Oryctolagus cuniculus: one gene and its partner. The protein of the gene in region 1 interacts with the protein of each later gene in a pairwise test. Links are inferred from orthologs where the notes say so. Each region holds a gene or a part of one and is shown on either strand. Other genes may lie near its edges.

The links.
Region 2: the proteins of CD63 (region 1) and TIMP1 interact in binary tests that used the Homo sapiens proteins (3 or more experiments, as listed by UniProt). The link is inferred for Oryctolagus cuniculus from reciprocal best matches to the Homo sapiens genes CD63 and TIMP1.

The regions. Positions count from the first base shown.
Region 1 is NC_091442.1:58,548,578-58,564,206, reverse strand, and holds CD63 (CD63 antigen), read left to right. Parts: upstream 1-8,389; coding exon 8,390-8,455; intron 8,456-9,204; coding exon 9,205-9,393; intron 9,394-9,479; coding exon 9,480-9,554; intron 9,555-9,647; coding exon 9,648-9,743; intron 9,744-9,835; coding exon 9,836-9,976; intron 9,977-10,163; coding exon 10,164-10,247; intron 10,248-10,338; coding exon 10,339-10,404; 3' UTR 10,405-10,492; downstream 10,493-15,629. Other genes in the region: translation initiation factor IF-2, read right to left, coding at 6,668-7,965, 8,067-8,391; RDH5 (retinol dehydrogenase 5), read right to left, coding at 11,346-11,569, 11,839-12,002, 13,288-13,546, 13,626-13,935; BLOC1S1 (biogenesis of lysosome-related organelles complex 1 subunit 1), read right to left, coding at 15,349-15,459. UniProt on the Homo sapiens protein: Functions as a cell surface receptor for TIMP1 and plays a role in the activation of cellular signaling cascades. Plays a role in the activation of ITGB1 and integrin signaling, leading to the activation of AKT, FAK/PTK2 and MAP kinases.
Region 2 is NC_091453.1:33,077,504-33,091,169, forward strand, and holds TIMP1 (metalloproteinase inhibitor 1 precursor), read left to right. Parts: upstream 1-3,428; intron 3,429-4,314; coding exon of another isoform or gene 4,315-4,322; coding exon 4,323-4,443; intron 4,444-5,628; coding exon 5,629-5,708; intron 5,709-6,246; coding exon 6,247-6,373; intron 6,374-6,635; coding exon 6,636-6,760; intron 6,761-7,596; coding exon 7,597-7,767; 3' UTR 7,768-7,868; downstream 7,869-13,666. UniProt on the Homo sapiens protein: Metalloproteinase inhibitor that functions by forming one to one complexes with target metalloproteinases, such as collagenases, and irreversibly inactivates them by binding to their catalytic zinc cofactor.

The DNA of each region.
Region 1 (15,629 bases):
TCACTTTAGACTTCTGGTCCGAGGAGAAGTTCTAGGAGTTTATCCCAGTGCGCTAAGCCTCGTCCATTCTCCAGCCCTTGTCTTTTTCCTGACGGTCCCTCGGGCGTGGTCCCTGCAGGAACTAACGCCTTGGGAGCGTCACCACCCCAGCTGCCCCCAGGCTCACTCCTGAGGAAGGCGCCCTGGTGGGCAGGGATCCGGACGTGGGGATCTCACCCTAGTCCAGGGAACTGCGCCTGGGCGCCCCGCCCACCGCCTGGTCTCCCTGGCAACTGCTCTCCAGCCCGGGGAGCCCCCCCACCCCCAGCGCGGCGTTACCCCGGCAACCTCCAGGCCCGCCTCCTCCGAGGTTCTGACTGGCTCGCGGCAAATGTGGGCCGGGGCCTACAGGGAGGGCGTTGAGGTGGGACTGGTGGGCGCGAAGGCGGTGGCCTTCCGGGGGCAGGGGGCGTTCCGGAGACCTGGAAGGCGGAGGGGGGGAGGGCGAGCGGTACCTGCGCCACTTCTGGGCGGGTCTGGCGCTGCGGGGAGGCCCCCGCCGCGGGGGTTCGCGGCCCGGGAGGCCTGCGCGCTGCTGAGAGGTGCGGCTGCCGGGTGGCGAGACGGCCGTAAGGCGCGGCGGCCCCTGCTGTCCCGCACGCCCGCCCGCAGCCGCGTCGTCCGCCGGAACCGGGCTCGGCAGTGGCCGGCCCTTTTCTCCCCTCCCCACGCGGGGTCCCCCGTCCTGGCTGAGCGCCCTGTGTTGGGAGTCGGTGGACGCATTCCTTGGCGTCGCGGGCCTTCTTTGGATGCGCGGGGTGGGTGGGGGGCGAGGCGCCCCCAGGGCCTCCCTTCCCGCACCGGCTCTTCTAGCCTGTGGCCCCCGGGGCTGCGGGGAGGCATTTCTGGGCCGGGGTTTGTGGGGGGCGGGAGGACCGCCCCCGGGCCTCTGCCCACAAAACCCTGCGGGCCCTGGAGCAGAAGCCCTTCCCTGTGTAATTACCGCCCTCTCCCACACCACGTACTGAACCCGGTCATTATCTTGCCTGGGTCCCTCGGCGGCCCCAAGGCCCTCCAGGAGAGGTTGGGAGTTGGTAGGAGGTGGCCAAAGAGTTTGTGTTTTGGGAGAGGGGTGGCAGTGGAGGCAGGACACCACGGAAGGGGCTGCACCCCCGCGCCCCCCACCCCCAGGCGAGCTCCGCACCCGCTGGCTGCACGCCCTCTCTTTTCTTCCCTCGACCTCCAAGCCTCTCCGCTCTTTCCTGCCTCTATTGCTCCGGTTTTTGGGCCCGATGCCGGGGCTGCCTCAGCTGGCCACACCGGCCCTGGAGCTGCTGGTTAGGAAAGCAGGGGTCTGAGAGCTTGTCCAGGAACACCAGGATGCTGGCGGAGGGGCTGACCTAGGCTGCCAGGAAGTGGTATTGTTAAGATTTGTGTATTTTATTTGAAAGGCAGAGTTACAGAGAGGGTGAGAGACAGAGATCTTCCATCAGCTGGTTCCCTTTCCAGATGACCACAATGGCTGGGGCTGGAGAGACCTTCCGGGTCTCTTACATGGGTGGCAGGGGCCTGAGGACTCGGGCTGTCTGCTGCTTTTCTAAGCGCGTTAGCGGGGAGCTGGATCAGAAGCGGAGCAGCCGGTGGCTCTAACTGGCACTCATGAGGGGGTGCTGAAGCTTAACCCACTGCGCTATGACCCCAAGGCAGGCAGGTCTGGAGGGACCAGTGTCCAGAGAAGAGTCAGCGGTGGGCACAGGGCAGTGAAGGTGAGGTGTGTGCAGCAATGGTGAGAGCATGACCAGAGAGGCAGGCTGGGTGCCGGGAAGGAGACACAGAAGTCAAGAGACCGGAGGGCAAGACAAGCTGCCCATGGGAAGGGATGTAGCCGGTCTGGGAGGTGGCTGGTGAGCACCTCCTCCCTGGAGCCTCTCAGCGCAGGTCCTTGGATGCTCCCCCATGCTGTGCAAGCCCTCCCCCCACCCAAACCACCTAAGAATCTTGGAGACTGGGGTTTCTGGTGCAGAGGTTAAGACGCTGCTTGGGATACCAGAGTACCTGGGTTCTAGTCCCAGTTCTCCCAATTCCGGCTTCCTGCTAATGCGCACTTGGGGGGCAGCAGCTGATGACTCCCGTATTTGGGTTCCTGCCACCCATCTGCACAGAAGACCTGCCAGCTTCAGCCTGGCCCAGCCCTGACCGTTGCAGGCATCTGGGGGTGTGAACCTCAACTCCATATAGCCCCAGTGCCTGGGCTGTTTAGGGTTCCTACTCATGGACGGATAAAAGCTTGCTCTTTCAGTCCCAAAGGAACGGAAAGCTGAGATGATCACCCGGCCCGCCAGCATTGCTTTTTCTCCTTTCTCCCATGTCCACCTCTGCTTCGTCCTGGGAGAAACCTTGGCTGTGAATTTCTGCGGCTCTCCAGTGGGTGCCACCATGCTCCTGAGCCAGGTCCTGGAGGGGAGACACACAGAAGCTAAGACCCTCCCTAGGAAGCCATGGGCCTGGCTGAGGGTCCTGGGCTGCCCGCCTGCCCACCCACCAGGCAGGCTGGGTCAACCCCATTGGTAATGGTGACCCTTGCTGGGAAAAGACTGAGACAGGAGTCAGGGAAAACCAGAAAGAATGAGGTTGGGATGGAGGAGGGCCCTGAAGAGAGAGCCAGGTCGGGGTCGGGTAGGACGTCACAAACAGGAGCTGGGCCTTGGGACTGGAATGGGGGTCTGGGCCAAGGCCAAGGTGCGTGGGAGGGGGAGAAGCTGGGGCTGGCTGGTCCAGGCTGAAGCTGGCAGATGGGAACTCAATCCAGGTTTCCCATGCAGATGGCAGGGACCCGCATACATGAGGGTTGCACATTAGCAGGAAGCAGAACTGAAACCCAAGGTACTCTGACATGGGATGCAGGTATCCCAAGTGGTGTCTTAACCCCTGTGCCAAATGCCAGGTTCAGAACTTACGCTGTCTTTTATTTATTGGAGAGGAAGGTGAGAGAGAGAGAGAAATCTCCCATCTGCTCATTCATCCCCCAAATGCCCACAATGGCTGGAGCTGGGCTGGGGCTGGAGCTGAGAGCTGGTCTCCCTTGTAGGGGGCAGGGACTCAGGTACTTGAGCCAGCACTGCTGCCCCTCAGCGTGTGCATTAGCAGGAAGCTGCAACTGGAAGCAGCGCTGGGCCTTGAACCTGGACGCTCCGATACATCATGGATATCCCGAATGGCGCCTTCACTGCTGTGCCAAACACGGACCCCTGGGCTTAGCATTCTTAAGGTAACAAAGCCAACCCCCGCCCCCAACTGCCCTGGGAGGTGGGGGAGGAGCTGTTTTTCTCCTACTCAGCCAGGAGGAAGTTGAGGCTCAGGGAGGGGTGGGGGCTTAGCCAAGGTCACCCCCTCGGGAGTGGCAGAACCAGGTGTCCCAGCAGCCTGTGGTCTGTGCTGGTGGCAGGTGTGAGGGACCCAGCCCTGCAGGCCGATGCAGCCAGTGTGGCTTCATCTCTGTGCAGACGCAAGGGCATGTTGGATGCATTCTCCTGTGAACCCCGGGGGCCTGGTCTTGCCCACCATGAAGGAGCTGGTGTGGTCAGAGCTGCCCACACCAGTGACGGGGGAGTTCCCTCTCTCACCTCTAAGCAGTATATCAGTGGTGATGTCGCTGTGCTGCGCTCCGACTGGGGCTCCCTGGGGTCTAGAACCCACTGTCTGGGGAGCCTGTGCTGGGCTGCTGTGTGAGCCCCCGCAGCACAGCCCCTGTCTTTTTTTAAAGATTTATTTATTTTTTATTTATTTGAAAATAAACAGAGAGAGGTAAAGAGAGAGGTCTTCCATTTGCTGGTTCACTCCCCAAATGGCCACAATGACTGAGGCTGGGCTAGGCTGAAGCCAGGAGCCAGGAGCTTCTTCCTGGTCTCCCACGTAGGTGCAGGGGGCCTAGGACTTGGGCCATCTTCCACTGCTTTCCCAGCATGGTGGAGCAACCGGGACTCGAACTGGCACCCATATGGGATGCCAGCGCTGCAGGCTGGGGCTTTAACCTGCTACGCCACAGCACTGGCCCCCAGCCCCTGTCTTGCTCTCCTGGTCTTCAGATCTCCTACTTGGGGCCAGGGACCCACCTACTTGCCTTCTAGGGTCTGTGTTGGCAGGACGCTGGAGTCAGGAGCTGGGGCTGAGAATCAAACCTGGGTCCTTTGATTTGGGACATGTGTCTCAAGTGCTAGGCCCAGCACCCGCTGCGCCTCTTCTTTTGTGGTAAAATACAGATAGCTTAAAGTCTTCTGACATTCTCACCATTCCGTAGTGGACGGTGCAGTGGCAGTATGTTGTGCAACCACCACCTCCTTCTGTCTCCAGAATGTTTGTACCTTCCCTCTGTGAAACCGTGCACAGCAATTTCCCCTGCGCAGCCCCCGGCGCTCACCACGCTCCCCTCTGCCTCCATGAATTCCACTCAGAAGAGGCTATTCTTGGGCACAGAGGGTCAGGCCGCTGCTGGCCACAACGGCATCCCACGTGGGAGTGCTGCTTCGAGCCCCGGCTGCTCTGCTTCTGATCCAGCTCCCTGCTAATGCACCTGGGAAAGCAGTGGAGGATGGCCCAAGTGCTTGGGCCCCTGCACCCATGTGGGAGACCCGGACGAAGCTCCTGGCTCCTGGCTTCAGCCTGTGTCAGACCAGGCTGTTGGGGCCATTTGGGGAGTGAACCAGAAGATGAGAAGTCTCCATCTCTGTCTCTCCCCTTCTCCCCTCTCTCTTGCTCTCCCTGTTAAATCAATCAATCTTTTTTTTCTCCTACAGAATGGGCCATTCTTGGGGCTGGCGCTGTGGTACAGCGGGTTAATGCCTTGGCCTGTAGTGCCGGCATCCCATATGGGCGCTGGTTCTATCCTGGCTGCTCCACTTCCGATCCAGCTCTCTGTTATGGCCTGGGAAAACAGTAGAAGATGGCCCAAGTCCTTGGGCCCCTGCACCCGCGTGGGAGACCTGGAAGAAGCTGCTGTCTCCTGACTTCAGATCGGCGCAGCCCTGGCTGTTGCGGCCAATTGGGGAGTGAACCAGAGGATGGAAGATTCTCTCTCTCTCTCTGACTCTCCTCTCTGTGTAACTCTGACTTTCAAATAAATAAAATCTTTTTTTTTTTTTTTTTTTAAAGAATGGGCCATTCTTGCCCTTCCTTGTTCCTCCCTTCCAGCTCCACATGATTGGGTCTTCTGGGGCTCCCCCGGCCCCACCACTCTGCACTTGCTGCAGTTTGCTCACAGCCCCTCCCGTGGTACCCCTCCAGGAGTCCCTTTCTGCTGACCACCCGTGCTCTCTCCCTGCCCACGCGCATGTCTCCACTTCAGCCTCAGCAGGTGCTCCTGACCCTGGTCCAGAGAGAGCCACTGGTTCTGTGGCCTTCTACTTCCCACCATACGATGTGACACTTCCAGTCACTGTCCCCTCTCTTCCCGTCTTGAGGTTCTCTTTTCTCTTGGCCTCCTAGAGAGAGAGAAGTAAGCAGAGGCTTTGGAACCCCGTGAGCTCTGGGTTAAAATCCTCAGCCTGCTTTTCACTAGCTTGAACTCTGGGTGTGACTCCATGTCTCTAAGTCTGCTCCCTTATCTCTGAAAGCAGGAAAGCACCGACCTCACAAGGCTGTCTGAGGACAACGCTGACCTCATCAGCCCAGGTGTCCAGCCCAGTACCTGCAATAGTGCAGCAAGGGCCTTTCACTGTCAGCTCCTTTCCTGGTTGCTAATCCCTGCCCCCACATTCCTGAGATGGAAAAGCTCTCTGAGGCTGCGAGCCCTCACAAATCCATGGATTCAATACTAGTGTCTGCAAGTGGTGGCTTAACCTGCTGTGCCACAATGCATGGATTTTCAGATAACTTTTTTTTTTGTTTCTTTCTAAAGATTTATTTATGGGGTTGGCTCTGTGGCATAGTACGTTAAACCTCTGCCTGTGGTGCCAGCATCCCATACAGGTGCCGGTTCAAGTTTCAGCTGCTCTACTTCCGATCCAGCTCCCTGCTGACACACCTGGTAAAGCAGTGCAAGATGGCCCAAGTCCTTGGGCCCCTGCACCACCTGGGAGACCCAGATGAAGCTCCTGGCTCCTAGCTTCGGATTGGCCCAGCTCCGGCTGTGGCGGCCACTTAGGGAGTGAACCAGCGGATGGAAGACTTTTCTGTCTCTCCCTCTCTCTGTCTGTAACTCTCTCAAGTAAATAAACCAATCTTAAAAAAAAAAAAAAAAAAAAAAAAAAAAAAAGCTGCTTTCCCAGAAGCATTAGCAGGGAGCTGGATGACAAGTGGAGCAGCCAGGACTCAAACTAGCAGGCAAATGGGATGCTGGAGTTGCAGTAGGCAGCTTTTCCAGCTACACTACAGCCCTGGCACCACCCCCCCCCCCCCAGCAAGTCTTTCACAGCTGGGTTGCTCAGGCATCCAATTGAATCCAGGACCAAGTGCTGAACTTGGTGGCTGGGCATCTCAGCTCTCTCCCCTCCCATCTTCACCACATCCTTCCCTTGGCCTTTGAGGCAACTCCACGTGCTTTGGAAAAATGCTTCTTTCTTTCCCTGTCTGGAACTGAGATCCTGCAAGGTCACTGGGCGGGGGGGGGGGGGGGGGGGGGGGGGGGCTAAGCCGCCCACCCGGTGCCCTCCTCCCTGTGTGCCCAACTGTCACCTGACGCATCTGCCTTTCTTCACGCCCAGGACAGAGCTTGGTTTGTTGCTTGCAGAGAGCAGGCAGGGCTCTGGTCTTCCTCCCCTGGATGCACAAGCCTGGCATCCAGCCGAGGCACGGGGAGGAAGCTGATCACTACTCCTTTCTTCAGGCCCCTCGCTCCTCCTCCTCCGCAGCCTTCCTGCCGCGGTGAGGGGAAGCAAAGTCCAGGCCAGGATCCTGGAGACTGCTTCTGCACCCGGCCAGGCCCGCCCTCCCCTCCTGTCCCTTTGACAGCTTCTGTGTGCACCCACACGCCCAAGACACGGGAAGTGGTTTTGAGGCAGGTCCAGAAGCACCTAAGGGGTGGAGACCGCCGGCGGCCCTGGAGCGTGCCCCCAGCCTGGATACCCCAGCCCCTGCCCTGCTGTCGTCCCCAGTAACAGGAGCCATGAGCCAGCGGGGCACAGACCTTGGCACTCCTCCTCCGCGGGAGGGACCCGAGGGACCCGCCCTGACGCGGCCTGGAGGGGTGGGGTGGCCGTGGAAGGGGGCCTCCTGCCTTCTCCCCGCCCTGGAGAATGGAGGAGCCCTCACTTAGAATTTGCGAGACTCCCTGGACGTGTTTATTCTGGCCCACCCAGTCCCAAGCAGCCCACGGCTCTCGCTGCAGACTCAGGGCTGGGGCTGGGGCTGGGGGTAGGGGCTCGATCCCAGAGGTGGCGGAGGAAGCGACTCGGCGGCGACTTCGAGGGCAGCTCCCGGCCACCCACCGCCCCCGCTTTCGGCCCTCGCCCGCCTCCTCTGCCGCGCCCAGAGCCAGAGGGAACCAGGCGGCGCTCGGTCCCGCCGTCCTACCACGAGCTGGCACGGAGGTGGGGGCGCCATGAGGGCCCCAAGGCGCCTGCAGGGCCCGGCCGTCCGAGCCTTCCCTGGGCGGGCGTGGGCGCTGTCCTGCAGGCCGGGGGGCCACGTGGCTCCCGCTGGGCGGGGGGCTCGGCCCTCCCCGGGCCGGCCCCGGTGACTCAGGCCGCAGCTGTTCCCGCGTCACATGAGGGAGGCCGGCGGCCGCCCGGCGGGGGAGGGGGCTGTGGCCGGAGCCCGGGGCGGGGCCGCGCGGCGGGCGGGGCAGCAGCCGGGGGGCGCCGCTAGAGAGCCCCTGAGCCGCGGCAGGAGCGGAGCGCACAGCCTCGGGGAGCCCAGGTGAGGCCGCGGGGGCCGCGGCGGGCTCGGGCGCGGGGTCGGGGAGGCCGCTCGGGCGCCCCTTTCCTGGGGCTCGCCCGGGGCCGCCGAAGACCCGCCCCGCGCTCTCAGCTGGCGCTCCGGGCCCTGGAGCAACTTTGCTCGGAAGTTCCCGAGCAGGGGCGGGGTGGGCGGGGGTGCCTGCCGCACTTGTTTAATTTTCGGGGGGCAGCCCAGAGCGCTGGCGAGGAGCCTACGGGGTGGGTTCGGGATTGGGCCGGAGGGCCGTTTTTCGGGACTGGTGGGACGCCCGGGGCTGGTGGGCCGGGGGTCGGCAGCAGTCCCGAGCCCCCGGGAGCTGCCCCAAGCTCGCGCCGCGGCGGGCGGGGACCCCCACCCCTCTGCCGCCCGGGGAGCGAGGGGGCTGGGAGACGTGGAACCGACCGCGGGCTTTCCGGGTGGGAGGGGCCGGGAATGGGGGCCGGGCAGGGAAGGCCTCGAGGGCCGGCGGGGAGCTCGGAAAGCGAGGTTCCCCCTAATCCCCCCTCTCCGCCTCCCCTGGACCCCAGGCCCGGCAGCCATGGCGGTGGAAGGAGGAATGAAATGTGTCAAGTTCTTGCTCTACGTGCTCCTGCTGGCCTTTTGCGTGAGTGCGGAGCTCGGGCGCGAGCCTGGCGGGGCGCGGTCGGTGGGTGGGGGGTGCCCTGGCTCCCGACCGCCGAGAGCCAAGGCAGCTGCAGGCCAGATGTGCGGGGAGAGCCCGGGGAACGGGGCCGAGGGCGGCGCCGCCACCCCGTCTTCTGGCTTTCGGGGACCCCGGAGGCCCATTTGACCGAAAAGTGGTCCTCTTGGACGGGCAGCGCCCCACCCCCACCCCTCCTGGCCCTTCCTGTCTGGTGACCCAACCACTTGTGATTGGGGCAGTGGGGCAACCAGCCAACGGCCTGATGCTATCGCCACGAGGCTCCTCTGCCCCGTCCTCCCGCGGCCCCCTCTTCCTCCACCCCACATCCTTCCCCTCTTTCCCGCCCGGCTTCTGTGGGGGCGAGGAAGGGCACTGCTCACCCCAAGTGGCTCCCGCCCGGGCCGAGAAGCCGCAGTTTGTCCAGGGAGGAGCACCCTTGCCCCTTCTCCTTCCTGGCCTAGCCGGCCGGCGGAGCTGTCACCGCCAAGGCGTGGGCTGGCACCGGGGCTGGGCGCCCTGGAGGCTCGTCCTGCTCTGGGCAGGAATGTGTGCCCCGGGGTCACAGCTCACCGGTAGCTTCTCCTTTCTCCCCAGTCCCTCCATCCCCTCCCCCGCAGTCCCCTTTCCCGGAGGAGTGCGGCTAGGCCTCTCCTCCAGGGGTCAGCTCTGTGTTTCCGGCCAGCCTAACCCTCCCGTGCCCTCTCGCTCAGGCCTGTGCAGTGGGATTGATTGCCGTGGGTGTGGGGGCGCAGCTCGTCTTGAGTCAGACCATAACCCACGGAGCGACTCCTGGCTCCCTGCTGCCTGTGGTCATCATTGCCGTGGGGGCCTTCCTCTTCCTGGTGGCCTTTGTGGGCTGCTGTGGAACCTGCAAGGAGAACTATTGTCTTATGATCACGGTGAGTGGTGGTGCCAGGGACGTGTCCCCGTGGCCAGGTCTCGGGTCGTAGACTGGAAGGCTGACTCCTGTGCTGTGCCCCTGCAGTTTGCCATCTTCCTGTCTCTGATCATGCTGGTGGAGGTGGCCGCTGCCATTGCTGGTTACGTGTTTAGAGACAAGGTGAGTGGGGAGTGAGGGGCCGGTCCTCCCCTGGGCTGCTCAGAACCCAGGTGCCTGGATTCGGACCTCAACAGCGCTTCTCCTTACTCTCAGGTGATGTCGGAGTTTAATAAGGATTTCCGGCAGCAGATGCAGAATTACTCGACAGACAACCAGACCGCTTTAATCCTGGACAGGATGCAGAAAGATGTGAGCGGGGCTGCCGGGGGCAGAGGCGTCGCCATGCCAAGGGGGGAGGCTCACATCACCACCCTCTCCCCCGTCTCCCTCTCCTCCCCCAGTTCACGTGTTGTGGGGCTGCTAACTACACGGACTGGGCGACCATCCCTGGCATGACCAGGGATCGCGTCCCTGACTCCTGCTGTGTCAACGTCACCTCGGGCTGTGGGGTCAAGTTCAACGTGAAGGACATCTATGTCGAGGTAGGGAGGGGGCTGGATAACCTGGCGGAGGCTTCAGGAGGCACGGAAACGTTCTGGGACGGAGGTGGCCGGGGTTAGGGATGGGAGGTGGACAGGGTCAGGGACGAGAGGTGGCGGGCCAGGTGCCTGGTGCCGGCTGGTGGGAAGCTCTGGTAGTGCTCTCACCTGTGTGCCTGCCTCCCCTCAGGGCTGCGTGGAGAAGATCGGGCTGTGGCTGAGGAAAAACGTGTTGGTGGTGGCGGCAGCAGCCCTGGGCATTGCTTTTGTGGAGGTGAGAGATGACCCGGGCAGGGGCCCGTGGTCCCACGGGTGGATCTGGGGTGGCTTGCCCTCCTCACTCCCCTCTGCCTCTGTCCTTCTAGGTCCTGGGCATTGTCTTTGCCTGCTGCCTTGTGAAGAGCATTCGAAGTGGCTACGAGGTGATGTAGGGCTCTGGTCTCTTCAGCCCCCTCCGTCTAGGGGAGTGCAGTCGTATCCACCAGGTTTTTCAATTAAACGGATTATTTTTTCAGACCGAAAAGAGACATGGTGTCTGTTTGTCTCAAAGCAATACCTGACCTCTTCCTCCTTATCCTTGTTCCCTTGCTCTGTGTGCACCGCCGGGGAAGGCAGGTGGTGAGCGTCTGGGAAAGGGGGTTGTGCTTGAACGTGTTGAGTGGGCTGGCAGGGGGATGTGGGGTCTGGAGGAGGCGCCGGCCCAGTGCCCTCTCTGCCCCCAGCCCTGCGCTCTTTGCTGGAACATCCATGAAACCACCTCCTGGGTAAGTCCCAGGATTCCCACACAGGCCTCACCTGGGAGAGCCCAGCCTGGGTCAGCTGTGGCCACGCTCTCCCTGGCGTTCTGTGCACCTGGGGGCCCAGCAGCCCCCTCTCGCGCAGTTCTCAAGGGGACCTGCTTCCTTTCAGGGTGCTGATAAGTAGGGTGGCCACTTTCCCTCATTCTGGACTGAGGAGAATGAGTATCCCCCCCCCTCCCCTTGGAAACCACTCAAGTTGGCCCTGATGCTTCATCACGGAAGAGAGCTAAAGATCCATTCCCAGTACAAACACAGAATTGTAACCTTACTCCATGCAGAAAATAGGTGACACATGCAAAGTGCCCTCTGGTGGCCACTCCTCCGGGTGCGGTTGCAAAGTTCACCCGAAGATGCAGGAGTTCCCGGCGCCCCCCAGTGGGCGTTTTGCAGGCACTAAAGACTTGGCAGTTTGGGGACGCCTTCATTTCTGCTCACTCACTTTCTGCTTTTTAGACAGTACACATTTATTGAGTGCCTGCTTTGCGCCAGGCACCAGATGGTACCAGAACGAGGGCAGAAACAAGTCAGAGTCCTTGCTCTTGGAAAACAGTCTCTCTGGGAGGCTGATTCATTCAGTAGACGGTCTGGGCAGGCTGTGGAAGGACCCAGGTGAGCACGGCATCCACCAGGCTGGCCGGCAGGTAGGAGGCCGGCAGCCAGAGCAGCTTGGCGTCCCAGCCTGGGCTGTAGCGGGTTCGAGGGTGACGAGCAGTCAGGGCGTGCTCCAGGCACTTGCTCACCTTGGTGAGGTCCGGGTCACAGATCAGGTTCATGATGCGTCGCTGCACTGTCAGATCTGCGGCCCCGTGGTGGGTGTCATCAGCCTCAGGACACTGCCCCCCTCCTGGGCCCTATCTTCTGGGTCCTGGGCTTGTTCCTAGCAAGGTCAGAGGGTTCCTCGCCTCCTCACCCCCCAGCCCCGTTTGGGGGGTGGGACTGGGCTGCTGTGCATGGCATCCCATCTTGTTTGCCCCCACTCCTCCCACAGGCTGGGGTGGGACTGACCTTCCTGGTGGTCCTTTCCCGTCCTGCCGTCCCATGCCCCCGTCTGGCCCCGCTACTCACACTTGGTGAGGAAGGTCTCCCCGTACTGGGCCTGTGTGGCTGGGGGCAGCCGTGCCCAGCAGGCCTGCAGGCCGCTGTCCAGGCTCTCCAGGTTGGTCACAGGGGTTCGGAAGAAGCCAGGCTCCACGATGGAGACTTGGACCCCAAAAGGAGCCACGTCCCGCCTGGAGTAGGGGCAGAGGGAGGGCTCAGGGCGCTTGCCCTGTGGTGCACAGGTTGGGCAGCTAAGATGAGGGCCTTAACACAGATGAGGGGCAGGAGCCCTGACGGGGGAGGTCCGGGCTGCCTGGCAGCCGGAGGCTTTATATTTTCTTCTACGATCTGTAGCAGAGGTCAGCACACTTTTCCTTAAAGGGCCACCCAGTTTAGGCACCATGGGCCAAGAAACACAATTAGCCTGACCATTATGAGCCTGCAGGCAGTTGGCTGCAGCTGGCCTGAGAACAACCCCGTGAGTTCCGAGTGCTGACATGCAGGGTGCAGACTGGTAGTTCTGGGGGTGGGGGCGGTGGGGACACATGCCAGTGCCCTGGTGTAGACGCAGAAGTCCACATGTAAAGCCTGTGTTCCGGGCTGACTGGGAAATGAAAGGCTGAGGGACCGAGACAGAGGGGAACGCTGAAAATACTGAGTGACGGGGAAGAGGGCGGGCTTCCTGAGCGCCTTGTGCTCGGCTCAACATTGAGGCCCCGCTGCCCTGTCGTCCTGCCCCACCTCCTTTGTGCACCCATGGCCCCCTGAACAGGATTACTGACTGATGAGGGGTGGGAGGCCCCAGCGCGTCTGCTAGCTGGTGTGTATTCCTTCTACATTTTGGCCATGTGCTACTTAGTGATGGTAGTCTGTTTCCCTATTTATAGCAATAGCAGGCTTTTCTGAGCACTTAGTACCTACCAGGCACTGCTGGGCCCCTTATTTTTACCTCTCACCACACCTGGGAGGTAGAGCTTCTCATCCCAGTTTAACAGAGAAGAAAAAATGGGTAAAGAGAAGGAATCTTTGTAAGACCCTGAGGCTTGAGGGGCCAGTGCCATGTCACAGTAGGTTAATCCTCCATCTGCGGCGCCGGCATCCTGTATGGGCACCGGTTCAAGTCCCGATTGCTCCTCTTCCAGTCCAGCTGTCTGCTATGGCCTGGGAAAGCAGTGGAAGATGGCCCAAGTGCTTGGGCCCCTGCACCCACATGGGAGACGGTGGAAGGAAGACCTTCCTCTCTGTCTCTTGCTCTGTCTGTAACTCTACCTCTCAAATAAATAAATAAATAAATAAGAAAGACCCTAAGCTTGCATGAAAGGACTTGAATCCATGGTGTCTGGACCTGAGCCCTCTCCTCCTGGATACTCCACTGTGCTGTGTCTTATTTTTTGCTGGCCCACCCTGGGCAGGCACTAATTTGTTTGTTGGGAGGGCCGTCCTTGGGTTGGGAGCCCACAGCCCTGCGCCCCTCACCTCAGGCTGTCAGAGAAGGCCTCCAGGCCAAACTTGGAGACACAGTAGCCCCCACCGTTGGCTGCCAGGCGGCCCAGGACGCTGCTGACGTTCACTACCCGGCCCCGGGCCTGCTGCAGCAGGGGCAGCAGGGCAAGAGTGACCCCGATGGGACCCAACGTGTTCACACTCAGCACGCGGTGGAAGTCGTCTCGTGTCAGCCACGGTGTGGGCCCGATGATCCCGGCCACGCCAGCGTTATTCACCAGCCCAAAGAGCCCTGTGGGGGAGACGGGACGGGCGCAGAGGGCAGGTGAGGCCCTCCCACAGCAACCGCCCCTGGGTGCCAGGGTCCTCACCTGCTTCCTTAACGTGTGACTCCACCCACGTGGCTGCCCGCTGCACACTCTGGGGGTCAGTGACGTCCAGCAGCGTGGTGTGGAGGCGGGAGGAGGCCACCTGCTGTAGGTTCTCTGCCCCAGAGGGAGTGAGGCAGCCGGCCAGGACCCGGAAGCCCTTCTGGTCCAGTCGCAGTGCCAGAAGGCGCCCGAATCCTGAGTCACAGCCGGTGATGAAGATGAAGGCATCGCTGCTGGGCAGGCTCTGCCGGTCCCTGAGCAGCCACAGCCCTGCCCAGAGCAAGGCACCCAGCAGCAGGAGCAGCCACATGGCAGGATCCAAAACGGCCTGTAGGTGGCAGTGTAGGCTGGGCAGAAGCCTTGGCCCCCAAGCCCTTGCCCCTAATATCCTCCCTGGCTGGGACTGTCCAGTCTGAGCAGATTTGAGAAATTAGCTACCTGGTGAATAACTGGCAAACTACAACTCATCTCTGCAACACAGACGTGGGCAGGCCCTGCACTGTGGCTAACCTGATTCAAGCCGGATGAGCCGGGGCCTGTGTTGGGGAGCAGAGGGACCTCCTTGTTTGTTCTCACCTCCGCAGCGACCCCCAACCCTCTAAGTGTAACCCCGGCCTTGTGCCTGGAATCACAGGGTCAGGAGCCCCTCGCCCAAGTCCCGGTGGCCTCCAACTTGTATGGCGGTGTCTGAACCTCATTTGCCAAGCGGGGCTGACACCCTGAGCCATGAGGGTCTGGGATGCCACGTGAGGAAGATGAGATATGCCTGGCGCTTTGAGTTACTGGCACACGGGACCTCCAGCCCCTCCCCTCACGGCACCCCAGCTCCCAGGGTCCCCCTTACCTCCTCTGGGGAAAGCTCGCAGGTCCTACAAAGCCCGAAGCTTCTTGTTTTGCTTTTAAGAGACTTTGCTCCTGGCTTCCCAGGCTCCCACGCTAGCTCCAGCTAAGGCCCAAGTCCGAGTGGGTGGCCTCGGGTGCCAGGAGTATTAAGCACATGTACGAGGGGGGTGGAGGGAGGGCCGAGGAGGAGGAGCCCTGAGCCTGGAGCCCCGAGGCCAGGTCTGCCAAAGCCCAGCTGCCTGCGGCCAGGGCTTAGCAGAGGCCAGATCTGCCCAGGCCCCTCTGGGGCTGTCAGCCTGGGTAAGTGGCCACCTGTGTCGTGGTCTCCCAGGAGGGAGCTGTCAGGGACAGCAGCTGCCCCTCTCGGCTGGTGGCCTTGGACCTGTCATTCCTCCCCCTTCTTGGCCCTGCTGTGCCTCCAAGAATTAATCTCGCACCCGGCCCAGACTCATGACACTGCTTAGTGCTGGCCTGGGAGAGGCCCTGAGCACGTGGAGAGGCCCCGAGCCAGAGCAGGGGCCCAGGCACGCTGTGTGTCTTACTTCTCTTCTGCAGGAAACTCAAGTCCCGAATTAGGACGCCCTAAGGACCCCTAGAACCTTCTCTGGGGAAGTGTGGGACACTCGCACCCTAAGCTTACCCAACAGGAACCTGCACCAGGCCTGAGGAGGAGGAGGAGCGGGTCGGGACAGTAAGAGGAAGCTGGTTCCACCCGTATCTAAATGGCACCATCCTGTGGGAGTCACCCTTGATCTTTCCATCCCACTTCCCACACTGGAGCACCTCGAAACACACCACACACGAACGGAGGCTGGGGTTTTATTCACGGCCTGGTGCGGGTGACACAGGCAGGGCGGGGTGGAGGGCGGGGGTGGAGTGGCTAGGAGGGGGCCGACTGCAGCTGTCCCTTGTACACGTATTCCAGCGCGGTGGCAATGGTGCGCATGTCCAGCTCAATGCTCCGAGCCCAGTTCTCCACATCCCCGATTTCCTGGGAAGGGGAAGCAGGTGGGTGGGCAGGCGCGGCTCCCAGGCTGGGGGTGCTTTTCACCCACCCCCTGGACCCACCAGTGACTTTCCTTTCTCTGGCTGTTCACACACTGGGGCCACAGGTGGGGCTTCTGGGACCAGCTCCACTTCCTCCCTAACCCCTGAGGGAGG
Region 2 (13,666 bases), on another chromosome or scaffold:
GGCACCTGCTCAATATTCACAGGTGCACGTGCAACTCCTAGGCACATGCCCAGCAACTGAAAGGATCTACACGACTTAACAGAGGGACGTGCACCTCTCCACTTTCACACAACCACTGAGACCCATAGCACACTCCTGGGAGCATGGTTAGACGCACACCTCGTGCGGCACGGAAAGACATACACACCACGGGAGATACCCGCAACTCTCTGGAATATACAGCACTTGTGGACACCCACAGCTTCAGGGGGAAAGGATACTTTGAATTCTCTCTGCACCCGGGGCGGGTGGGGGGCGGTAGAGAGAACTGAGCTGGATGACCATAGGCCCCTCCCCGCCAGCACGTATGCAAGCGCAGGGCCCTCCCTCACGCAGACAGAGGGATGGCATTCCCGGAGGGGCTGCTGGGGCGGTGGCGGCTCCCAGTTCCCGACAGGCACAGGAAGCCCACACATTCAGGGTGACCGATGGACCTTCAGGTCTCGCCTCCCTCTGTTCCTCCCCCGCCGCCTTCCTCATTTCCTAAATGACTGGCGTCATTCGCGGGAGCTGAGAGGCCCAGTGTCCGGACAGGGAGACTGACAGAGATCCTCCAGGCAGTGTGCCAGGGACATGATGCCAAGGCATGCGTGTGACGTCCCAGTTGGGCACCACACCACACAGAGTGAACAGCACACTCACAACTGTGCATGAACCCAGACCCACTTCACAGACTTCGATACACACCTCCCAGAAGCAGCACACAAAACATGTGAAGTGGTACAGGGTGCTCAGCCACATCCCCAAAGCATAGCACCCATGGGTCCAGGCAGCGCCCAGAGACAGCAAGATGCCAGAGAGCTGCGCACACATGCCCATCCCCTACCATCTGAGGTCTCTAGGGCTCTCTTTTCAGAAAGTGTCCTGGGTTCTTCTGAACCTGAGCCTGAACACAACACTGTATGTGCTGTGTGTGTCTGCACACGGGTGCCTGTTGGGAGCTCTGGACCCTGGGATGGCCTATAGGACTCTAGATCAGCATCTCAGCTTCTCTTCTTTGCAAAGCCCTGTGCATTCCAGGCCGATTACTGATTGCCTCTCTGGGCCTCAGTTTCCCGATCTGTACAAAGGGCACAGTCAGGCCCCAGCACGTGGTATGTTGGGAGGATCCTCAGGTGTCTGCTCTGCACACTTCGGCTGGACCTCATACCCATCGGGTGTCCCACACGGTCACACACCCGACACTCCTCCGTGAAGCCCCTCTCCCCACCGCCCCCTGCCCCTGATTCCAAACCTGCACAAGAACCTGGATCCACACAACCCTTCCCTGGCAAGACTGCTGACTCAGGGGGCCAGCGCTGTGGTGTAGCGGGTAAAGCCGCTGCCTGCAATGCCAGCATCCCATATGGGCGCTGGTTCGAGTCCTGCTCCACTTCCGATCCAGCTCTCTGCTGTGGCCTGGGAAAGCAGGCACAGATCCAGCCATTGTGGCCATCTAGGCAGTGAACCAGCGGATGGAAGACCTTTCTCTCTCTCTCTCTGCCTGTCCCTCTCTCACTGTGTAAATCTGACTTTCAAATAAATAAATCTTATTAAAAATAATGCTGGCTCAGGTTTCAAAGCACTGGCGTCAGAGCTGGGGTCAGCATGGGGCACAGGGGCCAAGAGAGGACTTTCCCTGCCTTCACTTCCCTCCCTGTCCTGCGGGCGAGTTACTCAGCCCCCTGTTTCATTCACTCTCACTCCCCCACTTTCACAACCCGGCTTCCACATACTTTTGGTTTACTTCCCTTCTTCCCTTTTTTGGTCCCTCCAAGGGAACCCTTTGAACTTGCATTCCTGGGCAAGTCACATGACCCTTGTGTGGCTCAGTTTCTTCACGTGCATGATGAGAAAATGAGCTTGTGTCTAACTCATAGGGATGCTGCAAGGAGAGGGATGGATTAGTTACTTGGTGGGAAGTGCTTAGCAAGCAGTCAGCCTGCACCCTCAAAGACTGCTAGGTACTGTCATTGTCCATATTGTGGCCTTTGATCACGCACACTGATGAGCCAGGAGCTCATCAGGGACAGGGCACGAGCAGAGTGACTTTACACCCATGTTTGATGTGCAGGAAGCACCACTCCTTTTGTAATTTTACCGTGCTCTTGTTATTGAGCGAACCTCTCTGAGTTAATCAAGTTTAAGTAGCAAGGGAGTAATGGAGAGGGAATGAGATAATTTACACAAAAAACCAATGCACTCAGTACACAGTAGTGCTCAATAAGAGGCTGCCGTTATCCCTATCGTCAGGATTTTTATTGCTCTGTCCTCCCTGAATTAACCAAGGAGGTTAATCAGCCCTCGGAACCCTCTTCAGGACCCCACGGAAGATGCCAGCATCATCAGGAAACTGGTGGGCAGTGATTGCCTCATCTCCCCCCGCCCCCCCCCCCCCCCCCCCCGCTAACAGGAGCGTGGGCCGGCTGGTGGGGAAGGGGTAGGGCAGGATGGGGTGGGGATGGGTTTGGATGGGTTTTCTACTGACTCACTAGCTTCTTTCACCACCATCCAACCCCCCTGCCAATGCTCACTAATCCACCGGTACCATTCCCTGCCTGCCAACACGGGGCCCCACCTGGCACCAATTAGCCAAGGTTCAAACCCTGGCCATGCCTTGTGATCCTGGGAAAGTTTTCCACTCCTTCTTGGCCTCCTATTTTCTCATCTGTAAAATGGGACAAGTCCTGGTGTCCACCTCAGAGGCTAATTGTGAGCTTTAAATGAAATCAATTGTGCTGAGTTCCTGGTACACAGTTGGTGCTGTATAAATGCTGGCCATTTGCCTGTGATTCTTTGAGAAGGGTTCAGACCCAGGTTGTGGCTCCAGGCTACCTGGGTTCAAGCCTCAGTTGGGCCATTTATCAACTGCAATCTTGTGTTAAATCATGTAATGTCTCCTATGCCTCAGCCTGTCTTCACCTTGACTTTTTCCCCATTCATCGGCCTAATCCGTCCACACTGTTTCTGCTTCCCCCCCTCTACCAGGCTGGGATTTTCATGTGCTGGTACACAGCAGATGCACAATGAAGATCGAAGGCATGGACTAAATTCAGGCTTCAGCCTTGGGGATTTTGGCGGATGTGGGCGGTTGCAGAGCCGTGGGAGACTTTCGAGGACTCAATGGGGGGGGGGGGGATCCTGCCGCCGCCGAGCTCTCTTGGAAGGAATGTGCCCGACGTGGAGCTGGGGGAGGGGAGGGGAAGGAGGGTGTCTCTCCTTTGGGCAGCCCTCGGCCCGCCCCTAGACTTCTGCGCTGACGGTGGGCGGATGAGTAATGCATCCAGGAAGCCTGGAGGCCTGTGGTTTCTGCGCCAACCCCGCCCCTCGCGTGGACATTTATCCTCTACTGCTCAGGCCGTGCTGCCGCCATCACCGCCGCTGCTCCAGTGCCCGGACAGACGCTAGAGGTAAGCGGGTGAGGCTGGGGTGGAGGCCTGGGCTGCCGGCAGGGCTGGGGCTGGTCTGGAGTTTGTGCGCTGGCGAGCAGGCCTGTCCGGTCCGTGCCAGATTCCTCTGCTGCTGCTCAGCCTGGCCTGCGGGTACCAGGACCCTGGACTGGTCAAGGGCAAGCGGGGAGGGGGCTGGAAGTGCTGCCGGCCCTGACACAGCAACCCCCCTCGAATCCCTGGCATCCATCCCCATTGCCCCCAAACCCATGACCCCCTAATACCAAAACGCCTCCCAACCTTCCAATGCCTCCAAGCCCCTCATTAACCCCCTCAATCTGCAGCCCAGCCCCCCCTTCACAGCTCCCTAAACTCCCCTAGCCCAGTCTCTGAACTCCTTAATCCTCAACCCCCTAAACCTCAACACTTCGTCTGTCCTCAAATCCCTAAAGTAGCCCCATCGCCTTAGACACCCAATCCCCCCAACACCTTGAGCTCCCAAACTCACACAACTCCCTAAACCCCCAACTTCTTCCAAATTTCTCAACCTCCCGAAATCCCCACCCTCTTCATCACTTAATATGTACAGTTCTGAAACTCCCAGACTTCTCTGGCCCCCACCCCAACTCCCTTTCCCTCCAGATTTTCTGAGACCCCTCCTTATTCACAAAATGCAAGACCCTACAATCCCCCACCTGACTCAGTGCCCTAAGCCACTCCAACTCCACAAACCCCTCAACTCTCCCAACTCTCTAAACCCCTGAACACCTCTGCAATCCCACCCCTTCTCCTACAAATCCCAAGATTCCCAACTCCTCAAGCCCCCACACAGCCCCCTCATCCCCTTGCAGACCAGCCTGGGGCAGCATGGGCGGGAAGGCTGCCTGACACCCGTACTCTCATGCAGAATCCACCATGGCCCCCTTGGCAGCCCTGGCCTCCAGCATGCTGCTGCTGCTGTGGCTGGTAGCCCCCAGCAGAGCCTGCACCTGTGTCCCACCTCACCCGCAGACGGCCTTCTGCAACTCCGACCTTGGTGAGTCAGGACCCACTGTGCCCGCAATCCCTTGCTTTGCTTTCCCTCTCGATGGCACCTGCCTCTAGAGCAGTTCCACCTGCCTCTGCCCTGACTCCACACCCTCAGGGATACCCTAGGCTCAAGCCCTCCTCAGGGCCTTTGTGCGGGCTGCACCCTCTGCTTGGTAACCTTGTCTCCGTGTACACATGGGCAGCTGTGTCAAGTGTCACCCTGGCCTTCCCTGACCATCGTGCTTAAAACTTTAACTCCTGCCCCTCTAGTACTCTACACACCCTGTTAAAGACAGACTTATTCAAGGATGCTTGTTGAAGCTCCGTAAGGCATGCTTTATTCAGGACCATCCCTACAGGTGCAGGAAGAGGACCCATGCCAATGGGATTTTGCAGGGAGGAAGAGAGCCTGGGCTCAACTCCAAATACCACATGGGCAAGTGGGAATCTGTAGCCAGGAACAGGGCAGGGGTCAGTGGAAAGAGAAAACATGTGGGGTAAGGGGAGTGGGGACTGTGGCTAAAGGATATTTGCAGAAGGTGGGCCAGGGTGATGAGACATCACCTGGGGGTGGGGGCTGGGGAATGAAGAACCCCATCAGATAATGAGGCTGAGCAGATGAGGGTGGGGGATTCTTGCGATAAACGGACCTAGCAGGGTTCTTTGCTAAAACTGGGTTTTTGCAAGCAAGTGCACAGATGGGCCTAGGAGAAGGTTTAGGAGCTTGACTGAAGCTTGACCAAGCAAAGAATCATGGTGACTCCCTCACCAAGCTTTGTAATTCCGCACTATATCGAGTAGCATCCAACATTTCCCAGTGCTCATCTTTGTCTTTAGTCAGTCTCCTCCTGGCTAGAATGTGAACTCCACAAGGAAAGGGAAGTCTGTGTTTTGTTTCCTGTTGGGTCCTTAACACCCACAACAGTGCTTGGCACACAGTAGATGCTCTGAAATATTTGTTGAGTCAATGGGCAAATGAACAAATGAAAAAGGTTCAAGCAGTGCCTGGGAAAGAGGAGTCACTCGATATATAGATGAATCAATTCACAAATGTGTCAATCGCTTAGTGTGCCGTCTGGAATACAGTAATCCCTATTTATGTATGCGCTTGCCTGGGATTAGTAGGATGATGACTTTATTTTTATTGGCTTTTGCAGTCCCTCTGACTCATCTTTCCCCTCCTCTCCTGCAGTCATCAGGGCCAAGTTTGTGGGGGCTCCAGAAGTCAATCATACTACCTTGTACCAGCGTTATGAAATCAAGACAACCAAGGTACTCCCCTGCCCCTTCTCCAGCATCCCTAACACTTTCTTCCTGGTCAAAATAGAGGCCTCTGGGAGCAGACATTTAGCCTAGCAGTTAAGACGTCTGTAAGTTAAGACATCAGAGTGCCTGGGTTCAATTCCCAGCTCCAATTCCTGACTCCAGCTTCCTGCCAATGCGGATCCTGGCAGGAAGCAGTGATGACTCAAGTACTTGGGCCCCTGCCACCCCTGTGCGAGACCTGGATGGAGTTTCCGGTTCCTGGCCCTGGCCCGTGCCCAGCCCCAGCTGCTGCAAGACATTGGAGGAGTTAATCAATGGATGGGAGGTCTCCCTCTCTCTCTCTCTCTCCCTCCCCTCCTCCCTCCCTCCCTCTCTCTCCGTGTCCCTCTCAAGTAAGTAAGTTAAAAAAAATAGAAGGCTCTGGCCACAGGTTAGGAAGGAGGTCAGTGGTGATCTCAGGATGCTATACTTGTATGACTTCAGGGAAGAAGGTGGAGTGGGAGGATGATGTCGGTAAACAACTCTTCCCCTCATCTGTCAACAGATGTTCAAAGGATTTGACGCCTTGGGGCATGCCACGGATATCCGGTTTGTCTACACCCCCGCCATGGAAAGTGTCTGCGGGTACTCCCACAAATCCCAGAACCGCAGCGAGGAGTTTCTCATCGCTGGTGAGGCCCCCTCCCCTCACCCTGGGCCACGCCTGCCCGTCCCTCAGACACCGGGGCGAGGCTCAGAAGGGACTCCTCCCGGTTGAAATGAGACCTGCCGATCCCAGCCTATCAGAAGGCAGGGACTTTGCCCAATGGGGGATCTGTAGGCTAAGAACTCCAATCAGGCACTCTCCCCACCCATCCCCCTCTCCCGCCCAGACAATCAATCAAAAAAAAAAAAAAAAAAACCATCCTGCCTGTTGATTTCTCCTTCACCTAGGACAACTGCGGAACGGGCTCTTGCACATCACGACTTGCAGTTTCGTGGTTCCCTGGAACAGTCTGAGCTTCTCTCAACGTTCCGGCTTCACCAAGACCTACGCTGCCGGCTGTGACATGTGCACAGTGAGTGCCTGGGTTCTGCCCTCCACTCCTGGGGCTCTTTCCTCAAGCTCTGGGCTTGCTTCTTAATCCCTCTGGCTGCTGCTTGTTCCAGGGCATGCTCCCCACACACAAGGGCTGTCCCGGATCTCTCTGGCTAGTCCCCGAGCCCTATGATTGCTCCCTTAGCAATTCTGGTGCTGTGTCTGACACTGGGACTGCGTGTCCCTCAGACCTGTCCCTCTAACTCCCCCTTGTGCCTATCCTGTAGTCCCACTGTTTCTGACCCCCTTGGCCTAGTTTTTTCTTTTGCTTTTCTTTATTTTTCAGTTTTTCCTTCCCTAGAATGTTCTCCAGGAGACTAAAGTGCTGGTGCCCAAACCCACTGACTCTTGCTCAGCAAGTCTGATTGAGTCAGTGTAGCTCTGACTGTTGCAGACGTCAGCGAGCATTACATGAACTTCTGGCAGCCCCCAGATTGTTCCCTGATGGCCCTGATGCCATCTGACCCCAGGGACTGCCTCAGAGGCCCACTAGCTACTGCTACACTCTACTTCCCCACACTCCATTACCCCACAACCCCACGACTTCCAGATGTCCCGTAGCACAATCCCCCAGGAGACCTGCCAGACTGACCTCCAGCGACCATTCCCCAACCACCATTCCAGGATGCGGGTCCTTTCTCTGGTTTACTATTTCCCAGCGAGAGAGGGGCTGTTCTTGGGTCTGAACCCAGGTGGGGCGACACCAAGTCCCCCTAACCGCTTCGTGTTGCAAGTTGAGGAGGGAAAGCGTCTTGGTAGGGGAGGTAGGTGGAGGAGGGCAGCCCTCCCAGCTGTGTCCTCCCACCTCTCCTGTAGGTGTTTGCCTGTGCATCCATCCCCTGCCATCTGGAGAGTGACACTCATTGCTTGTGGACAGACCAGCTCCTCCTAGGCTCTGACAAGGGCTTCCAGAGCCGCCATCTCGCCTGCCTGCCACAGGAGCCTGGGCTGTGCGCCTGGCAGTCCCTGCGGCCCCGGAAAGACTGAAGGCTGCTCCTGTTGGAAGCCGAAGCCTACACCATGTTTGCCTCCCTCCTACCCCCATCTTTCTTTGTCCCACACAATGAAATAAAGAACTACCACCCTGCAGACACTGTTCCCGTGTTGCTGATGACCTGGTGGGAGCACTCTGGGATCTGTGCCAAGGGCAGTGATGGATACTAGGTGCTGGTTTTTTTTTTTTTTTAATCTTTCACCTAAAATGTGATGTGGTGCTTTTAACTCTCAGGCTTGGTATTAGCACTGGGGATCTGCCCAACTATGAGCGTTCCTGTCCTCACCCTTGAGTTTTGTACTGGAAATCTGACTCGAGCCAAAGGGGAAACCTTCAGAGGATCCCTAAATCCCCAAAGTCACCCAGCCAGGGATTCGAGCCCTGGCTCTGGCCTGTGGATGACTCCTTAGGAGGGCTTGTGTGGGGACACAGGACAGGTGAGATGGAGAGAAGGTGTGATCTCAAAACCCCCAAGCTCTCCGCTTGTCCCCTCTCCCCTCTCCCTGCTCCCCTCACTCCTCTGACCAGTCTTAAAGGGAACGTGGACAGCACTGAAATTCCGCTAGGGTTCATCATGAGGCCTAAGCAGCAGGTTCCCCTTACCCAGCTGGTGCCGCACCCAAACTGAGATCTCTGCACCAAACCCTCAGCTTTCTGGCTTGTCTTCCTTCACAAGACCTGAGAGAGATCCTCCCAGCACTCCTGGGCCTCCCTATGCTTAAAGTTGGGCCTGGGGCCCTCTGGCCCCTTTCCAGCCCCTGACACCTGCTTGGGATACTCCAAAGTCCAGACACAGGTGGGGATCAGAGTTTCAGATGAATGCAGACATTCAGTGGAACACTCAAGTGTGCTGTTGACCCAAATCTGCTTATAAAAGGTCCCAATCTTTGGTGAAGAAAAGGACCACAATTCTTCCCCATCAGACTACTACCAGTATGAATCCAGGTGTCCTCTGGAGCATTCTAGGTCACCCAGCATGGGCTCTAGAGCCTCTATGGTCCTGTCTCAAAGCCCTTTGCACGCCTGAGAGATTCTCCCAGGGCCCAAGATATGTCCCAGATCCAGATGGGAGATGAGCATGCAGCAGTGACTGCTTGAACAGGCCAGGCCCACTGTGGCAGCAGGTTCTATGTTGCCACTGGCACCTTGCTCATATCTAGGATGGTCTGGACCCTGTCCACCAAAAAGAGCAAATGGCGGTCTTTGCTGATTTGTGCAAGTGTAGGGGAAGGGCCAGGCCCTGCTTTGGCTCTGGTGACTCTGTCACTAGGCCCTCAGCTGCTTGTGAGCCTCTGGAAGCTCCTGACAGTTCCCCCAACCCCAGTACCCACTCCCTGCACTCTTAAGCTCTTTCCTGCCTTCAGGGCCCATTTGCTGAGCCCTCAGCTCATCTGAGCCCTGGGAGGAAGCTGAACTGGGAGGTGGCAGGGAATTCAGCATGCAGACCATTCCCTGGCCAGCATGTGCACCCTTCGGGAGGTCCCTGAACCAACAGCAGCCAGTGCAGCACGGATGGGGCCGACCAGTTTGTCAGGGTACATAGAATCCACCACGGCGTGCACAAGGCTACTTCCCCTAGGGCCTTGGCATGAGCTCCTGGCAGGTTCTCTAGCCCTGGGATCACTGTGTCTGCTTATCATTCTTCTAGAAAATCCATTAGAGGGAGTAAACTGAGCATCCCCTAACCCCAGCGTTCAGTGGATCTGTGTGTGAACCTCTGGGAGAGAGTCAGTGACAGCTGAGAGCAAGCATGTGGGGGTCACAGCTGCATGAGGTGTGCAGCTCAGTGAGTAGCCTGGGGACTGGCCCTTCTCTCAGTTGAGCTTCAGTCTTTCTTCCTAAAAAGTGGGCATCTGGGGGTCAGCGCTGTGGCTCAGTGGGTTAACACCCTGGCCTGAAGTGCCAGCATCCCATATGGGCGCTGGTTCTAGTCCTGGCTGCTCCACTTCCGATCAAGGTCTCTGCTATGGCCTGGGAAAGCAGTGGAAGATGGCCCAAGTCCTTGGGCCCCTGCACCCACATGGGAGACCCGGAGGAAGCTCCTGGCTCCTGGCTTCGGATCGGCACAGCTCCAGCCATTGCGGCCAATTAGGGAATGGGCCATTGGATGGAAGACCGCTCTCTCTTTCTCTCTCTGCCTCTTCTTCTCTCTCTGTGTAACTCTGACTTTCAAATAAATAAATAAATCTTTTTTAAAAAGTGGGCATCACAGCCCCCCTGCAGAATCCTTCAGAAGGTTGCTGAGGTTGGAGGATTTCTAGGCTGGCTGGCCCATGGGCATTTCTCAGGTGAGAACACGTGAGACTCTCATAACAATAACTTCCTGAGCAATCTGGAGCCAGGACTCAATCCAGGTATGCCACCCAGGTGGCAGAAACCCAACCACTTGAGCCATCACCACTGCTTCCCAGGGTCTGCATTAGCAGGAAGCTGGAATCATGAGCCAGTACTGAGACTCAAACTCAGGCAGTCAGATATGGGATGCAGGCAACTCAACTGGTGTTTTCATGACCAGGCCAAGCAACGGCCCCATAAGTGAGTGTGCTTTTTATTCCCGTGCAGGAACCGAGCTGTAGAAAGGTACTATGACTTCCCCAGGATACACAGCTAGGACATGGCAGGGCCAGGATTTGAATGCAGATGGCCTGGCTCCAGAGCTCATGCTCTTAGCCGGCACACCACACTGCCTGTCTAGGAATTCAGTACCTGTTAGAAATATTGCTCAGTGAACCAGTAGATGGGAGCTCTCTGTGTCTCTCAAATAAATGAATAAATAATATATATTTTTAAAATATGCCTAATGCATAAGGACAATGTACACATTAAATAAGGTTGTACATGGAAACTTCCAAGTAGTAGTTATGGCAAAATAATTGTAATTTATAACTTTAGTAGTGATACTCTTACCACTCATAGTTATCTACAATATTTCAAATAATATTTGATATTAAGCATAAAACAATATTATAAATATTGTATCTTATGAGCAATAATTTGATGCAGCCTGGAAACCTCATTTTTCTACAAAATGTATTTTAATTGAAAAAATCATCTATTTTCACATTATTTGAGAGACACAGAAAGAGAAAGAGAGAGAAAGAGAGATCTTCCATCCACTCGTTCATTCCCCAAATGGCCGCAAGAGCTGGGGCTGGGCCAGGCCAAAGTCAGGAGCCAGGAACTCCATTCTGGTCTCCTGCAAGGACCAGGAACCCAGGTTCTTGGGCCATCTTACATTGCCTTCAGAGGGTATGCATTAGCAGGAAGCTGGATTGGAAAAAGAGGAGCCAAGACTGGAACCAGGCATTCCAATATGGAGCGTGGGCTTCCTAGGCAGCCCTTAGAAACGTTAGTTTAAGATGAACATGATCATCTCTGCCAGGGCTGAGCTGCTCTACAGGGCTGTTACAAATACTTAATAAGCTCACTTGTGATATTTTTCTTGGTAGTGTGAAGTGTGTACACTGCTTTAGAGTATGTCAATCTCTCCACTGACAAAGGCTTCTGAGGGAACCCCCGCCCCATGATAATATTCCCCACCATGAAGTCCTCACTGGGGACTAATCCTTGTCTTTGGAAATCTGTACTGTTGCCACGACTACACATGCCACATCCCAAGCCCTTGGCAAGTCCTTCCTTTGATAGGTCCTCTCTCCCCACTGTGACAAATCCTCTTTTTCAGAACTGCCTCGCTAAGAAACATCTTATTCATAAATATTCCAGCACTATCTCCCCATGCATCACTCCCAGCGACAAATTTCTCCATTCACAAACACACAGCAGCAATCTATTGCCTGCTGATGGAGCCCAGCAACAAAATCTCTCTTCATAACTCCCCATCCATTGATATACCCCCAGTTGACAAATCTCTCTAATCATAAAGTTTTCCATGATAGAATTCTTGTTGAAAACCTCCCATTCGTACATCAAGATGGCACATGGGGGGCTGGCGCTGTGGCATAGCAGGTAAAGCCACTGCCTGCAGTGCTGGCATCCCATATGGGTGCTGGTTCGAGTCCTGGCTGCTCCACTTCCGATCCAGCTCTCTTCTATGACCTGAGAAAGCAGTGGAAGATGGCCCAAGTCCTCGGGCCCCTGCACCCACGTGGGAGACCTGGAGGAAGATCCTGGCTCCTGGCTTCGGATAGGTGCAGCTCTGGCTGTTGCAGCCAATTGGGGAGTGAACCAGCAGATGGAAGACCTCTCTCTCTCTCTCTCTCTGCCTCTCCTTTTCTCTCTGTAACTCTGACTTTCAAATAAATAAATAACCCTTTTTAAAAAATAAATCTTAAAAAAAGATGGTATATGGGCACGCACCCACTGTCCATTAGGAATGACACTGACGAGCCCCCTTGTCAAATCTTGCCAATCAGAAATACGTACCCTTGATATCCGTATACCTCACTTAAAGCCTGTTCAGAAATCTTTCCATTCATAGAAACCATATATCCATGCATTCTCTACTGATTGAACTCCACTGACACATTTCTGCATCCTTAGATATTTACAGTTGGAAAATCCCCCTGCTAGCTAGAACAGCTCCCTAGCGATTACCCCATATGATGAATCATCCTTCTCTTCCAGCTAATGACAGGTGGAAAGGTTGATTTGCATAACAGTAGCCCTTTGTTTTTATTAATAGTGACTGACATGTCTCACCATCCAGCTCTGGACACCTCCTATGCCAGTAATGGTGAAATCTGAGGATCATCCACAGTTACTCTGTAGAGCCCTCTGAGAAAGGAATGGATTAGGGTACAAAGTTCTCTCTGGCCGTCAGTTGGGGGGGGCAGTGAAACGAGCATTTTGAGAAGACTGGTTGAAAGTCTAAGAAGCTGGTAGAGGTCCAGATAAATCCCCCAACTCCCACAGTCCTGCTCCAGAGAAGGCCAGAGGTATGAGCTCTTGAAAGAGCATAATGGAAGAGCCTCATTCATATGGGCAGGGATATCCACACTGTACCCAACTCTGCTCTGGCTGGAAGCACTGAGACCCAAAAGCTACTGAAGTCATACCAAGACCCCAGCCCATCGCCTCACCAATGCTCCTCAGCCCGTGTCCCTCTTCCTTTCGCCCCTCCAAGACTCTCCTCGAGGTTCCTAGTAGGGTCCCGGATATCTGGTTCATTAGCAGTACCTGAGAGTAAGGAGCAACGCCCTTAGGTGTCCATACACTCACCAAGTGCAAGTGTGCTGACATGCACCCGGGGAGGCTCCCCTTTGGCAATTCCTCACAGCAGGCATCCAAGCTGTCCCCACCCTGTGTGAGCTGCTCAGCCTCAGGCCTCCGTGTGCAGCATCCCTGGCACAGTGTCTGCAGCCCCGGGGCCTCCTCTCATCCGAGTCCCGCCACACCTCCTCCCCTCCCCCAGCACAGGACACTGTGCTCCTGATTTCAGCCCACCACAGCATATTCTGTCCTCAACCAGCCACTTAGAGATTACAGCATGTCCCAGCCAAAAGATAGCTGTTTGCATTTTAATGGCCCTGAAGGCATGGCCTTCGACTCCCTTGCAGGCTCTTTGAAGGATGGGGCGCTCCACTTCACGAGATGCAGGGGTATATTCTTGGAAGGAGCACAGATAGGGCTTCCTGAATTGGAACAGGAAAGGACAGCACCGGGCCCGAGCGGTCCCCAGACTCCAACTCACCCCTGCCCCCTCTGCTCCCTGCTCCCCTTTGCTGTGCCCTATCTCCTCTTCCTAGTCCCTGCTCTCTTTCCTTGTTCCCTACTTCCTGTCCCTACCCCTTCCCCAAGCTCTGTCCTCCCACTCCCTGCTCTTACTCAGGCTCCCTGCCCCACCCCCGCCAACTCCACGCTGTTGCCTCTCTCATTTTGCTCCGTGCTCAGTGTCCCTGGGCCCTGGCCCCACTGCCTGAAGGAGTGACACGC